3 linked regions of the Callithrix jacchus genome follow. The protein of the gene in region 1 interacts with the protein of each later gene in a biochemical or structural test. Links are inferred from orthologs where the notes say so. Each region holds a gene or a part of one and is shown in the gene's direction. Other genes may lie near its edges. The genes, in order: SIN3A, SMARCA2 and SMARCA4.

Region 1 (4,282 bases):
TTTCAGACTGGGTGGCTGGGATAGAGAAAAGAAGCCTTCTCTTCCCCCAGCTATTCCTTCCACAAGAGGCACTTCTGTAGTCTCCAAACGCAGTATTACAACAGCCTCTGGGCCTCCCCTTGCTGCTTATAGGCACTTCTCAGTCCACCGTCAGAACCCATCTTTCTGCCAGGGTGCCAAACATCTTACACTATAGTTGTGGGCCTGTGACGGTGCTGCCTGCATATTCGGCTGTGCACATCCAAGAATTTCACCCAACTAAAAGTTGTAAAGTGGTTCCATTTCCACACCCCCAACCCTTTTTTATGGCTATAGCCACATATGAAGGTCATTTTTTTGCATTTACCCCTTTGTGTCCTTTGCTGACAATGACCTGCCCCTCCAATTCTGCTTGATGAAATCTTTAAGACCCAACTTGAATGCCACCTCCTCCATGAAACCAATTTTCCTTCAGCAGAAGGAATCTCTCTTCTCTGAGCTCCTATGGATGTCTATTTACATACACATTCCTGCCTTGCCTTAGTGCCTTACGTAGACTCTCCTCGGCTGAATCTGGAGCCCTTGGAGGGGTAGAGTAAGCACGTCACCCAGTCTGTAACTGCACCTAGCAGCAGATGCAGTATGAATGTCTGCCTCACCCACAGTAGGGACAAGTGCCTGCTGCCCGCGGAAGCAGGGCTTCCCGTTTGCGTTACTCGCTTTTAGGTCTACCTAACAGAGTGGACCGGACACGGTTAGGTCACACAGCCAGAGGAGTCTGCCCACCTCAGCCAGTGCCTAGGGTGCACCTACCTCCTATACTGTCTAGCTCCAAATAGGTTGTGTGTGTGAAGGAAGTTGGGGCCGGGTAGCCCGGCTGGCTCATCATCCGCATCCACCCTGAAGATCTCCGAGTCCCAGAAGGCCTCCTTCCAGTCCGAGGACCTCAAGAAACTCCAGTCGGCGGTGTGGAAGCTATAAGGGCCTCTACCACGGATACGTCTCTCACTAGCGTTTAGTTTAATAAATTTATTTATATTTTTTGGAAGGAGGGAGCATTCAATGAAGGGGAAGAGGCGGGGCGAAGGGCGGAGGCGGGCCCAGGGTGACTGACGTGAGCTCCGGGGAGCCAATGGCCCGTGGGGGGCGTTCCCCCCCATTCAGGACTCCTCGCCTGGCTCGGAAGGTATGTTAAACAGCTGCTTTTAATTTGGTCCCCCCAATCTCAGTCGTTTGGGGGGCTAATCCCCCGGCCGCTCGGTCTGGCCGGCCCGACGTGGTGTGAGCCCCACGGGCCCTGGGACCGAGCTGAGGGGAGGCTCGGAGTCCCGCGGCCGAGGTAGGCGAGGGACAGGCCAGGAAGGAGAGCTCTTGGCGCCGCCCGCTCGCCTGTGTGTGTGTTTCGAGCCGGGCCGGAGCCGTGGGGAGGGGGTCGGTCCGGCCTGGGTCGTCCCTGCGCCGGCAGTGCCGCTTAGTTTATCTCACCGAGCAGTCGGTTTTGGTAGGTTTTGGCGGCGTACTGGAGAAGGGGCGGGCAGGAGACCCCCGCTCCTGTTGTGCCTTTTTCAAAAAAAGAAAAACATTAGGAAGGAAAAGGGGGATTCCACACGCCGACTAGAACCGGGCCCGGGTTGCGGCTTGCAGGCTCGGCAGGGGGCGGCGGCTCGAGCATGGTCGGCAGGGCCCATTGAGCTTGCGGCGCCCGGAGTTGCTTGAGAGCTGGAGTTAGCGAGCGAGCCGGGGCCCGCGGCTTTCCCGACTACCCACGCTGAGCAAGGGCGGCAGCCGCCCCGAGGGTTTTGTTTCTGCCTGCAAACTTGTCGGAGGGGGCGGTGGGCGCGCTCTGGAGAGGCGCGGGCACAGTGGGCCCGCGGTTGTTATGGACTCGGGGGGCGGGGGCAACACCGGACTTGCGGGAGGGGTAGCCGGGGGCGGGAGAGGCCACCGGAAAGAGCCGCTGCGCCTCGCCGCTAACCCCGCGAGCTGCCGAGGCTCCGAACTCCCCGGCCGTAGCGGTCATCAGCATTCGGTGCCAGAACCCGGCAGGCCGCGAGCCGGCGAGGAGCTCGCACCGGTGGTGGGGAAAACCCCCAGGAACTCGGCGGCTTCGCCCCGCGGCCCCGGCTGATCTCCTTGCAAACATGGAGCTGCCTGCTTCCCCGCCCACCCCAAGGCGGCGGCGGCGGCGACTGCTGCTCTTTTCCCCTCCCCCGGCCGTGCCGCCGCCGGGCTCCCCCTTCCCGCGAGGTGCCACTGCGGGCCGCTCCGCGCGGATGGGGCGGGGGCGCGGGCGTGTGCGCGCCCACGAGGGGGTGGCCTGAAAGGGGCAGTGAAGGTCGGAAACTGGGAAAACAGTCTCCACGCTCGGAATCGGGAAAAGGAAATGCATCAGCGGGCGGGAGGGGCGCGGGGGGCGCGCCTGTCAGCCGGGATGGCGGCCGTGAGCGGGTAGGCGGAGCGCCGGCGCGAACCGTCCCGGCCGGGCGGGGCAACGCCGGGAGAGGCGGCGCAGGGGCTCCCGTCCACCGAGCGCCAGGCGGCCCCTGCCAACACTCCTCGACCCAGACTGTTTACTATCTACTCCACCGGCGGCTTGTGCAACCCGCCTGGAGGGGAGCTGAGGGGCGGGTCCGTTTCCTCTCTCCCACCTACCTCGGGCTCGCCCGGGGGCCCCGCCTTCTCTTGTCTTCCACTGGCTGGGTGAGACCCCCTTTTTTCCTCCTTCTCGGAAGTGGATTGGATGGCATTCTCCCGAGCTCCGCCTATCGGGAGGCCGGGCTGGAGTTTAAGTTGCTAGGATTTTTTTTCCGCGGAGGGAGGAGGGAGGGTTCCTGCCGCTGACAAGAGGCGCAGGGTCCCGCCCCCGCCTCTGATTGGTGGGACGAGTAGCCCGGCCTCCTCCGGCTTTGCGAGCTTGGAGTGGGAAGTCCACTCTTGTTCCCCGCCTCCTCCCTTCGCTCTTGAGCGCGCTCGGCACATGTGTGAGGCCCGCCTCGCTCCTTCGAACTGCCCTCCCGCCCGGAAGTCCTAGGCTCGGCGCCCTTGGCGAGGGGGGCGGGGATAGCCGAGAAGCCACACAAAGGTTCCACCGAGGCTCTAGACTTGGTAGCCTTCGGGGTGAAGCCAGGGGATTACAGTGAGGAGTGGATTTCGGTAGCGAAGCTCCGGAGGTTCTGCAGGGGTTGAGATCTGCACTTCGTGGCCGGGGCCAAGTACTGAAGTTCTGACCCTGTGGCTTGTCTATTTCCGCGCCCCTTGACTTCCCTGAGCTTAAACTGAGAACTCTGTAGACGCTGAAAGCGTTTGTTCTTCCCTAGGCAGGTAGCTGCCGTCCTTAGTTGGCTGTGTCTAAGATTCTTGACAACCTAGAGCGCTGGCCTGGGACCCTTTGGCGAGATCCAGCGCAGGTAGTACCCTGTGGTCACGGGAAGTCGTGAGCGGCCTAATGCTGGCTTGGGTTCTGAGTAGTTTTTGATACCATGGTGAGCCTGCCCCGTGATACTCAGTTTAGTGGTGGAAGGGGGCGCAAAGTTAGGAGTTTTGGGTCGGTTCTGCTGGAGTGCCACTTCCTCCTAGCATCCCAGCAGTTTGGCCCAGGGGTCGCTTCGTTGGTCTTATTTTTAGAGCTCCGTTCCGGGACAGGGCTTGGCTACTGGCGAGGCTGCTCCCACCTGTCGACTCCCCTTGAACTTCACAATTCGCTGTCGTGGTTTTGTGGCTCGAAGCCATCACTGGAGTCAGGCCCACCTGCTGCCAGAGCTCTTTCCTGGCCATTTCCACTGATTGCAGAGGGAGAACAGAGTTGGACCCAGGAGTGGGTTCGCCGTGCCTGTCCCTTGGGAGGAGGATTCGGCTTCCTCTGGAGTGCGGTAAAAACCTAATCCCGCCCCCTCTCCTGACGCTGGGAGAGTGTCCCCTCAAAGTGAAGTCAGCTCAGGCCCACGCTTTATTTGGTGAATAAATAAAAGCAGACTAGGAATTAAAAGCACTTTGTCTCACTGTGTGTTCGAGGCACTGTTACCTACACCAGAGAGGGCACAGGGACTGCCATTAACACTCTTGGCCAAGGAGAAGGTGAACAGCCGTTTTATGTCCCCAACTACGGAAGTTTTATCTTTTCTCTGAGTGTGACATGACCCCAAAGTTAATTTATACCGTGGCCTGTTTTAATCTTTTCCTCTCCTTTCTCAGTTCTTAGGATGCCTCCAGATCCACCGGGGAGATCGTGAGTACTTGTGCCTCACGCTCCGCCCTCCGGAGGCTTGCCAGGGCGGTGGCTGTTAGGGCCCGCCTCTCTTTTGGT
Region 2 (3,591 bases), on another chromosome or scaffold:
CAGGTTGGCAAGTGAAAGGGTCGCTAACTAGATAGAACCACGCAGAACAGGCATGAACTGGAAATGTTCTGGGCACCCTGGGATGCTTGTGTTGTCTGCAGGTTGCTGATAGTCTTATCACCAATACAAAGATCTCCTTGTGATTACTTATTCGTGTCTATTTTATTTGCTTTGGTTTTAGCAAAATCAGTCAAGGTGAAAATCAAGCTCAATAAAAAAGATGAGAAAGGCCGGGACAAAGGGAAAGGCAAGAAAAGGCCAAACCGAGGAAAAGCCAAACCTGTAGTGAGCGATTTTGACAGCGATGAGGAGCAGGATGAACGTGTAAGTATAGCCAACTGGGATGAAGGCAGAGATGCCCTCTCCAGTGCTCGCTGGCCTCTCGCATTTCCATGCCCCTTCAGCCTTTTTGCTTTATTACCCAGGGGTGGAAATGTCAGGATTAGTGAGATTTCATTATTGAGGGATGTGAACGGAGCTGTATGATTTAAAATAAACGATTGGGGCTTTGTTTACTGCTTTTTTAATAGTCTTCAAAAGTGAAAAACTACTAAATCAAGTTCATTCTCCCCCCTTTTTAATCTTCCCAAATGCTTTCTTATAAATATGGTTTACCCCACAGCCAGTTAATATTTTATATCCATCACACCCAGCATGGTGCCTGGTACATAGCAGTAGATTAGATGGAAGAATGAGAAAAAGTGTTATGACGTCAGTTACTGGCTCAAGTTGCTACTTAAGGGACTGTGTAAAAACTCATGAGTTTTTAAGTACCCAGGGGTGTTATTTTTAATATTTGAAAAATTCGAGGAGCATCTATTGAGACAGACATTTAAATAGGTACCTTCCTGTGTGTTAGCATATTAAATACTGATGTCAGCATCATGAGATAGATGTCACTCTCAAAAAATGTGTCACAGAAATGGTTAGGTTATGTGTGTTTTGCTACAGGTCACATACAGGGGTGGAATTTGGACCCAAGTAACATAACTCAGTCTAGTGTGCTATCCCTGACTGGTCAGCAAGGTAGAAGAGTGGGCAGAAACTCCGACACCTTGGCTTTTGAATTGCCCTTCATTTCATCCATTCACTTTCCAGAGGATGGTTTTCTGGCACCCATTATTTTCTTTCTGGAAAGACACATTTCCCTTTTAGTGTATGTGCTAGTTGGATTTACCTTCAACACATGACCGTTTTCAGAATTATTTTCTCACTCCAGCCTTAACCCTTGATGCAAGCATTTTTGAATACATTTAAAATACTGCATTGTCTATAGAAGACATGACATGCAGGGTATTTTTTTTTTCCTCCCATCAATTTTCTAAAACCTAGGGCTGGAAACGAGAAAATATTCACCATAAACCTTTCCAGCTAAAGTGAAAGGGCACAAACAGCACAGAGGGTGCACACTGCTTTGGGGTTTTTCAATAAGGAAATCTTCGCAGCTTAGAGGCTGCTGATGCCTCTTTAATGTGTTTCTGTGCTCCCACGGAAAGAGATTTGGAGGGTTGTTTCCAAAATGTTATTTTTTCTTACTAGCCTCTTAATGGTGTGTTGTTGTTATATCTTCTTTTTATCGCATGTGATGTTACTTCATTTTATCTTATTTTTACTTTTAGGAACAGTCAGAAGGAAGTGGGACTGATGATGAGTGATCGATATGGACCTTTTTTCCTTGGTAGAACTGAATTCCTTCCTCCCCTGTCTCATTTCTACCCAGTGAGTTCATTTGTCATATAGGCACTGGGTTGTTTCTATATCATCATCATCTATAAACTAGCTTTAGGATAGTGCCAGACAAACATATGATATCATGGTGTAAAAAACACACACATCCACAGATATTTGTAACATATTGTGACCAAATGGGCCTCAGAGATTCAAAGATTGAAACAAACGAAAAAGCTTTTGATGGAAAATATGTGGGTGGATAGTATATTTCTATGGGTGGGTCTAATTTGGTAACGGTTTGATTGTGCCTGGTTTTATCACCTGTTCAGAGAAGATTTTTGTCTTTTGTAGCACTGATAACCAGGAGAAGCCATTAAAAGCCACTGGTTATTTTATTTTTCATCAGGCAATTTTTGAGGTTTTTATTTGTTCGGTATTGTTTTTTTACACTGTGGTACATATAAGCAACTTTAATAGGTGATAAATGTACAGTAGTTAGATTTCACCTGCATATACATTTTTCCATTTTATGCTCTATGATCTGAACAAAAGCTTTTTGAATTGTATAAGATTTATGTCTACTGTAAACATTGCTTAATTTTTTTGCTCTTGATTTAAAAAAAAGTTTTGTTGAAAACGCTATTGAATATTGCAATCTATATAGTGTATTGGATGGCTTCTTTTGTCACCCTGATCTCCTATGTTTCCAATGTGTATCGTCTCCTTCTCCCTAAAGTGTACTTAATCTTTGCTTTCTTTGCACAATGTCTTTGGTTGCAAGTCATAAGCCTGAGGCAAATAAAATTCCAGTAATTTCCAAGAATGTGGTGTTGGTGCTTTCCTAATAAAGAGATAATTTAGCTCAACAAATGCAGCCTCTTTCTTTGCATTCTAGAGGATTGAAACCCTTGTGTCTGAAGTGGCAGTTTTCCGGAGAGGGCTGGGCAGGCTCTTGCTACAGAACACTTGATAGGGAAAAAAAGAGAGGCTGAGAGAGCCAGTCTCCTTGGAGTGGTCCAGGTGTGTCACCCGGGAGCCTGCTGCACCCATGACATTAAACTATTCAACAACAGAAGAGATGCTGCCGTGGATCAAGCCGTATGAAGTCCCTGCTCAGCCTTCAGTTTTGTTTCTTAATCAATCAGAAAATCTCTATTGCTATTTATGTCTTTTGATTTTGAAAGGTTTCAAAAATATTCCATCAAAAGACTGGTTCAGTGAACACCTATATACCATCCAACTGAAATTCAACAATGATTTATCCTTACCCTGTTATTTTACCAAACCACTGGAAAGTAAGTTGCAGTCATCATGATACTTTGCATCTAAGAAAAAGGGTATCTCCTAGCCAACTACAGTCCAGTATCACACAAAAGGAATTGATAGTTCCCTGATATCTAATAGACAAGCCATAGTCACATTTTCCCAATTGTTCTAACATTATTTTGTAGTTGTTTTGTTTCAGCCGGGATCTTTTCAAGGCTCACACTTTGATAGTAATATTCATCTCATTATCTTTTTTAAAAGTCTCAAAAAAATAGCACAAAGGTGGGCACATTCTTCCTTAACCTGATGAATGGATAGAATCAAAATGGGAGCGTTTTCCTTCAGGACTACTGGGTTGGTGAAAGCTTCCTTTTTTAGAATAATCTACGGGGAACTCCAGGATTCTTGCTTTTATATATGAGGATTTGCCAATGCCATATCCTGCTTTGAGTCTTGAAGGAAATTTGATCCACACAGAGTGCAGTCCTCCTGAAAAACTTCTTTGTCTGGCTCAATGTCGACTTGTGTGTTAATTTCCAGTAATCAAAGCATTCAGGAGGAGTTTCCCTTCTCGGTTGATTTCTTGGGATTTGCTAACTTCAATAGGATTGGAGACCTCTGTGGAAGAGTATACCACATTAGTTTCTCTCACTG
Region 3 (4,182 bases), on another chromosome or scaffold:
TGGGTTTTCTGGGGCATGGGGACAGTGATCCCGCCAGAAGGGACGCAAGCCCCATGCTCTTACCTATAGAGGATTTTGTGAATCACAAAACCTGTTGAGACAAGGCTGAAGGCAGGTGAACCCGAAGTCACTGTCCGCCCACACCCAGGTCCTTTGTGTTTCGGGCAGCGGTGTTGCCAGCATTGGCTGCTGTGTCTCTGCTCCCCATGGAATGGCACATGGCAGAGTAGGGGAGAGTCCAGGGCTGTGGTGGTGGCGGCCGTGCTGACCCTGTGGCGTGACTGTGAGTTAGGTGCCAGGCTCTGTGCTCCAGGCCTGCCTCCTCTAGTTCTCCCACCAAGGCCTATTTTAATCTCTGAGGTGGGTAGAGAGGCATTGGGTGGTAAAACTGGAAATCTGGGTACTCACCAGTGGCCCACAGGCCTGTGTGGAGAGTGCAGAGCCAGGGATCTAGGGATGCTGGCGGGAACCAATTCTGTTGCAGCATCAGAAGCAGGTTTTCCCTGGCACCTGCTCCCCACCCCTGGTCACCCCACTGACCCTGTTCTTCTCTGTGCCTGTCAGGAACCACGAAGGCGGAAGACCGGGGCATGCTGCTGAAAACCTTCAACGAGCCCGGCTCCGAGTACTTCATCTTCCTGCTCAGCACCCGGGCCGGGGGGCTCGGCCTGAACCTCCAGTCGGCTGACACTGTGATCATTTTCGACAGCGACTGGAATCCTCACCAGGTAAAAGCAGGCTGAGCGCAGGTTGGGGGGAAAGGAGGTGGTGCCTGTGAAACCTCAACACTGACCCTGGCTTGAGGGTCCTCCAGCCTCCTCCACATTGTCCTGGCCTCCAGTAGCCAGGAAGAGCCACACCCATATCTCCATAGGTCATCGAGACAGCAGAGAAGGGGTCCTGTTTCCCAAAATACAAACAGCCTTTCCCTCTGATTGGGAAAGCAGTGTAGAAGCCATCTATCATTTTGGTTTTTCTTAAATCTTGGAATGGCCCCAGTGAGAAGGAGGTGGAAGGTACCCTAATCAATCCCGTGCCATCACTGTGGGCCAGCCCCGCAGGCATGCTGTGTGCTTGCACACGCTGGCACTTGTTCAGACAACTGGGGGTGAACTCCATGCCCCTTGTTTACTTCCTCCTCTTGTTCCATAACCATGTACTCCCCATGGACCTCAGTGTAGGTGGATACCAGGTCATGCTGTTACAAAGCTACAAGAGTTTCAAAATGCACAAAACTCTTCTCTGTGTTTCATTGTAAGGCTGTCACATTCTTGTTATTTTTAATACGCAAACACCAGTGACACGTGGTCAGGAGTCCCTTTTCCCTTCCTGTCCAGCCCTGCTCTGTCCCGAGTCTCTGCCAGCCCGTCTGCCTTCGTGAACGTGTGTACTGAGATTAACAGAGGCGGCGTGGCCTGGCAGGTGTCTCTTCCACCGAGCAGTGGGTGTCAACTGCCAGGTGCACATTGCAAGCTGCCTGGCCATCTAATCAGCCAGCAGATGGCTGCCCCAGGACATCTTGTGCCAATACCCTAAGGTTTGCTCAGCCTTCAGACGTGGGCTCGCTCCAGCCCAGCATTGTCCCCTTCACGTGCTGGTTGCTTCTACCAAAGCAGTTTCACTCCCACCGCTGAGGTGTGAACATTTCCTGTCCTTCCCTGCAGCTTGGGGGCGCCAGTGTTCTCTGTCTAAATTGTCACTCGTCTGATGGGTGAATGCCTGTTGGTCACTGGTGTCCCCTCCTGTGATCAGGCTGGGGTATAGTTTCTGCCCAGACCCTGGTGACTAGTCAGTTTCTCGAGAGGTGGTGGGGTTATGCCTCCCTGTTGGCAGGCCGGCAGTGGGCAGAGGCTACATCCCAGGGCCAGGGGCACATTGCGGAAGGCTTGCCCTGCCGGGAAGCGTGCTAACAGGGGCAGGAGGCCTGAGCAGCAGACGCAAGGCACTCCGGGACCCCACCAGCTGTGGCCTCTGCCACAACATGGGTGCCAGTCTTGAGTTTAGGAGTATCACTGGTGCTTAGCCTGTCCCTACAGCTCCTGGGCGCAGAGACGGGATTTCATGGGAGCCTCCTTGCCCTGTGCTGGGGTGATGATAAAACAAGCAGCCCAGGAGATTATAAGTGGCTCACACTTATAATCTCGGCATTTTGGGAGGCAGAGCACATGGCAAAACCCTGTCTCTACTAAAAATACAAAAATTAGGCAGGCATGGTGGTGTGCGCCTGTAGTCCCAGCTACTCAGGAAGCTGAGGCAGGAGAATTGCTTGAACTTCGGGAGACAGAGGTTGCAGTGAGCTGAGATCGTGCCACTGCACTTCAGCCTGGGTGACAGAGCAAGACCTTGTCCCAAAAAAAAACCCAAAAAAGCTAACAGCCCAGCCACGGCACCCATGTTGTTGGGACCTGACTGCACCAGTCACTGGACCATGCTCCAGGTATTTATTCACTCATAGAGGCCACACAGTAGCCACGGGGTGGGCCCAATGTCAGTAGAGGGAGTTTTGAGACTCACAAAGGTGAGACCTGGTTCCGGTTTTGTGTGCACAGTGAGAGAATGGCAGGGCCTGCAGCCAAACCAAGCACCGCCAGAGCGCAGCTGGGCTTTGACCCCATCCTGTAAACGGTGCTCAGCTGTGCAAGGCCACACTGGGGAGCTATGCAGCTGCCACAGGAGCTGCTTGAGAACATAACCCCCCGGGGGTTGGTGATTTCCCGAGTATCTGTCAGGTCCCAGTAAGGTAGAAGGTGGCACTTCTGGAGGAACGTGATGAGAGCCCCCTACCCCCAGGGACACGTGGCGACCCAGGCTCCCAGCTCCTGTGGCTGCAGGTTGGTCTGGACAGAATTGCCAGGCTGAGGGTGGCATTCACACCACACCTCTCCAGCTCATGTCGGAGGCCACCTTCTCCCTTCTGAGCTTCTTTGGGACTGACTGGCACCTCTTCCTCCAGGACCTGCAAGCGCAGGACCGAGCCCACCGCATCGGGCAGCAAAATGAGGTGCGTGTGCTCCGCCTCTGCACGGTCAACAGTGTGGAGGAGAAGATCCTGGCCGCCGCCAAGTACAAGCTCAATGTGGACCAGAAGGTGATCCAGGCCGGCATGTTTGACCAGAAGTCCTCCAGCCACGAGCGGCGCGCCTTTCTGCAGGCCATCCTGGAGCACGAGGAGCAGGACGAGGTGAGCCCAGCGCCAGCCCCAAACCCCCCCAGCGTGAGTGGTGGACGCATGAGCGGCTTTCATTTTTGTTTTTTTACCTTTTTTGCACTCTTATTTTTTTTGCATCCCTTTGGAGTAAAGGGAGTGTGGGCTGAACGGAAAGAGGATGAGTACTTGCTTTTTCTTTGAAGTGGTTTTTTTTCTAAACTGCTGGTGAAAGACGCCGGATTGACAGCCCTGGAGACTGAAGTCCTCTATTTATCCACAGAGTAGACACTGCAGCACGGGCAGCGGCAGTGCCAGCTTCGCCCACACTGCCCCTCCGCCAGCGGGCGTCAACCCCGACTTGGAGGAGCCACCTCTAAAGGTGAGAGGGGTAGTTCAGTCTCCATGCCCATTCAATCCTCGGCTTCTCGGCTGAGATGGCCAGCAAGGGCCCTGGTCCCACGGAGCGTGCGTGTGCGTGTGCGTGTGTATGCCTCTCGCTGCCGTGTGGGTCCCCATCCACCGCAGCCGCGCCGGGACCACCAGCTCATTCCCACGGACGCCACCGCTCACCACTGAGCTCGGCCGCCGCCCACCCCGGCCCCTCCGCAGCGGCACTGACAGTTTGCAATCTTGTAGGAGGAAGATGAGGTGCCCGACGATGAGACTGTCAACCAGATGATCGCCCGGCATGAAGAGGAGTTTGACCTGTTCATGGTAAGCACCGCAGGCTGCACAGTGCGGTTCAGGCATCCCACTCTGCCGCCGCCAGGAGCAGAGCAGAGGTCTTAGTGCCTGTGCCCGTGGTGGTGTCCCCAGCAGGTCAGGGAGCCAGGGATAGCTCAACTCACAGTGTAGCCCATTCATGTCTCCAGACTGACCCGTCTTCCACCCCAGCCTTCTGAGCATGATATTGGAGGGTGAGATGTACACCCACCCATTCTGCCTGTGGTCCTAGTCCTGCCCAGCCAGCTATGCTTTCTAACCGGCTCTTTAGGGCTTCACATACTCTCTTTCAGAGGGAGTTTGCCCTGTCC

Evidence for each region.
Region 2: the proteins of SIN3A (region 1) and SMARCA2 form a complex in vitro, tested with the Homo sapiens proteins (2 studies listed by BioGRID). The link is inferred for Callithrix jacchus from reciprocal best matches to the Homo sapiens genes SIN3A and SMARCA2.
Region 3: the proteins of SIN3A (region 1) and SMARCA4 form a complex in vitro, tested with the Homo sapiens proteins (2 studies listed by BioGRID). The link is inferred for Callithrix jacchus from reciprocal best matches to the Homo sapiens genes SIN3A and SMARCA4.

Annotation. Positions count from the first base shown.
Region 1 is NC_133509.1:22,403,501-22,407,782, forward strand, and holds the start of SIN3A (paired amphipathic helix protein Sin3a), read left to right. Parts: upstream 1-1,137; 5' UTR 1,138-1,318; intron 1,319-4,282. UniProt on the Homo sapiens protein: Acts as a transcriptional repressor. Corepressor for REST. Interacts with MXI1 to repress MYC responsive genes and antagonize MYC oncogenic activities. Also interacts with MXD1-MAX heterodimers to repress transcription by tethering SIN3A to DNA.
Region 2 is NC_133502.1:108,678,379-108,681,969, forward strand, and holds the end of SMARCA2 (SWI/SNF-related matrix-associated actin-dependent regulator of chromatin subfamily A member 2), read left to right. Parts: intron 1-181; coding exon 182-324; intron 325-1,619; coding exon 1,620-1,655; 3' UTR 1,656-2,541; downstream 2,542-3,591. UniProt on the Homo sapiens protein: ATPase involved in transcriptional activation and repression of select genes by chromatin remodeling (alteration of DNA-nucleosome topology).
Region 3 is NC_133523.1:10,186,340-10,190,521, forward strand, and holds part of SMARCA4 (SWI/SNF-related matrix-associated actin-dependent regulator of chromatin subfamily A member 4), read left to right. Parts: intron 1-564; coding exon 565-728; intron 729-2,953; coding exon 2,954-3,181; intron 3,182-3,428; coding exon 3,429-3,527; intron 3,528-3,784; coding exon 3,785-3,862; intron 3,863-4,182. UniProt on the Homo sapiens protein: ATPase involved in transcriptional activation and repression of select genes by chromatin remodeling (alteration of DNA-nucleosome topology).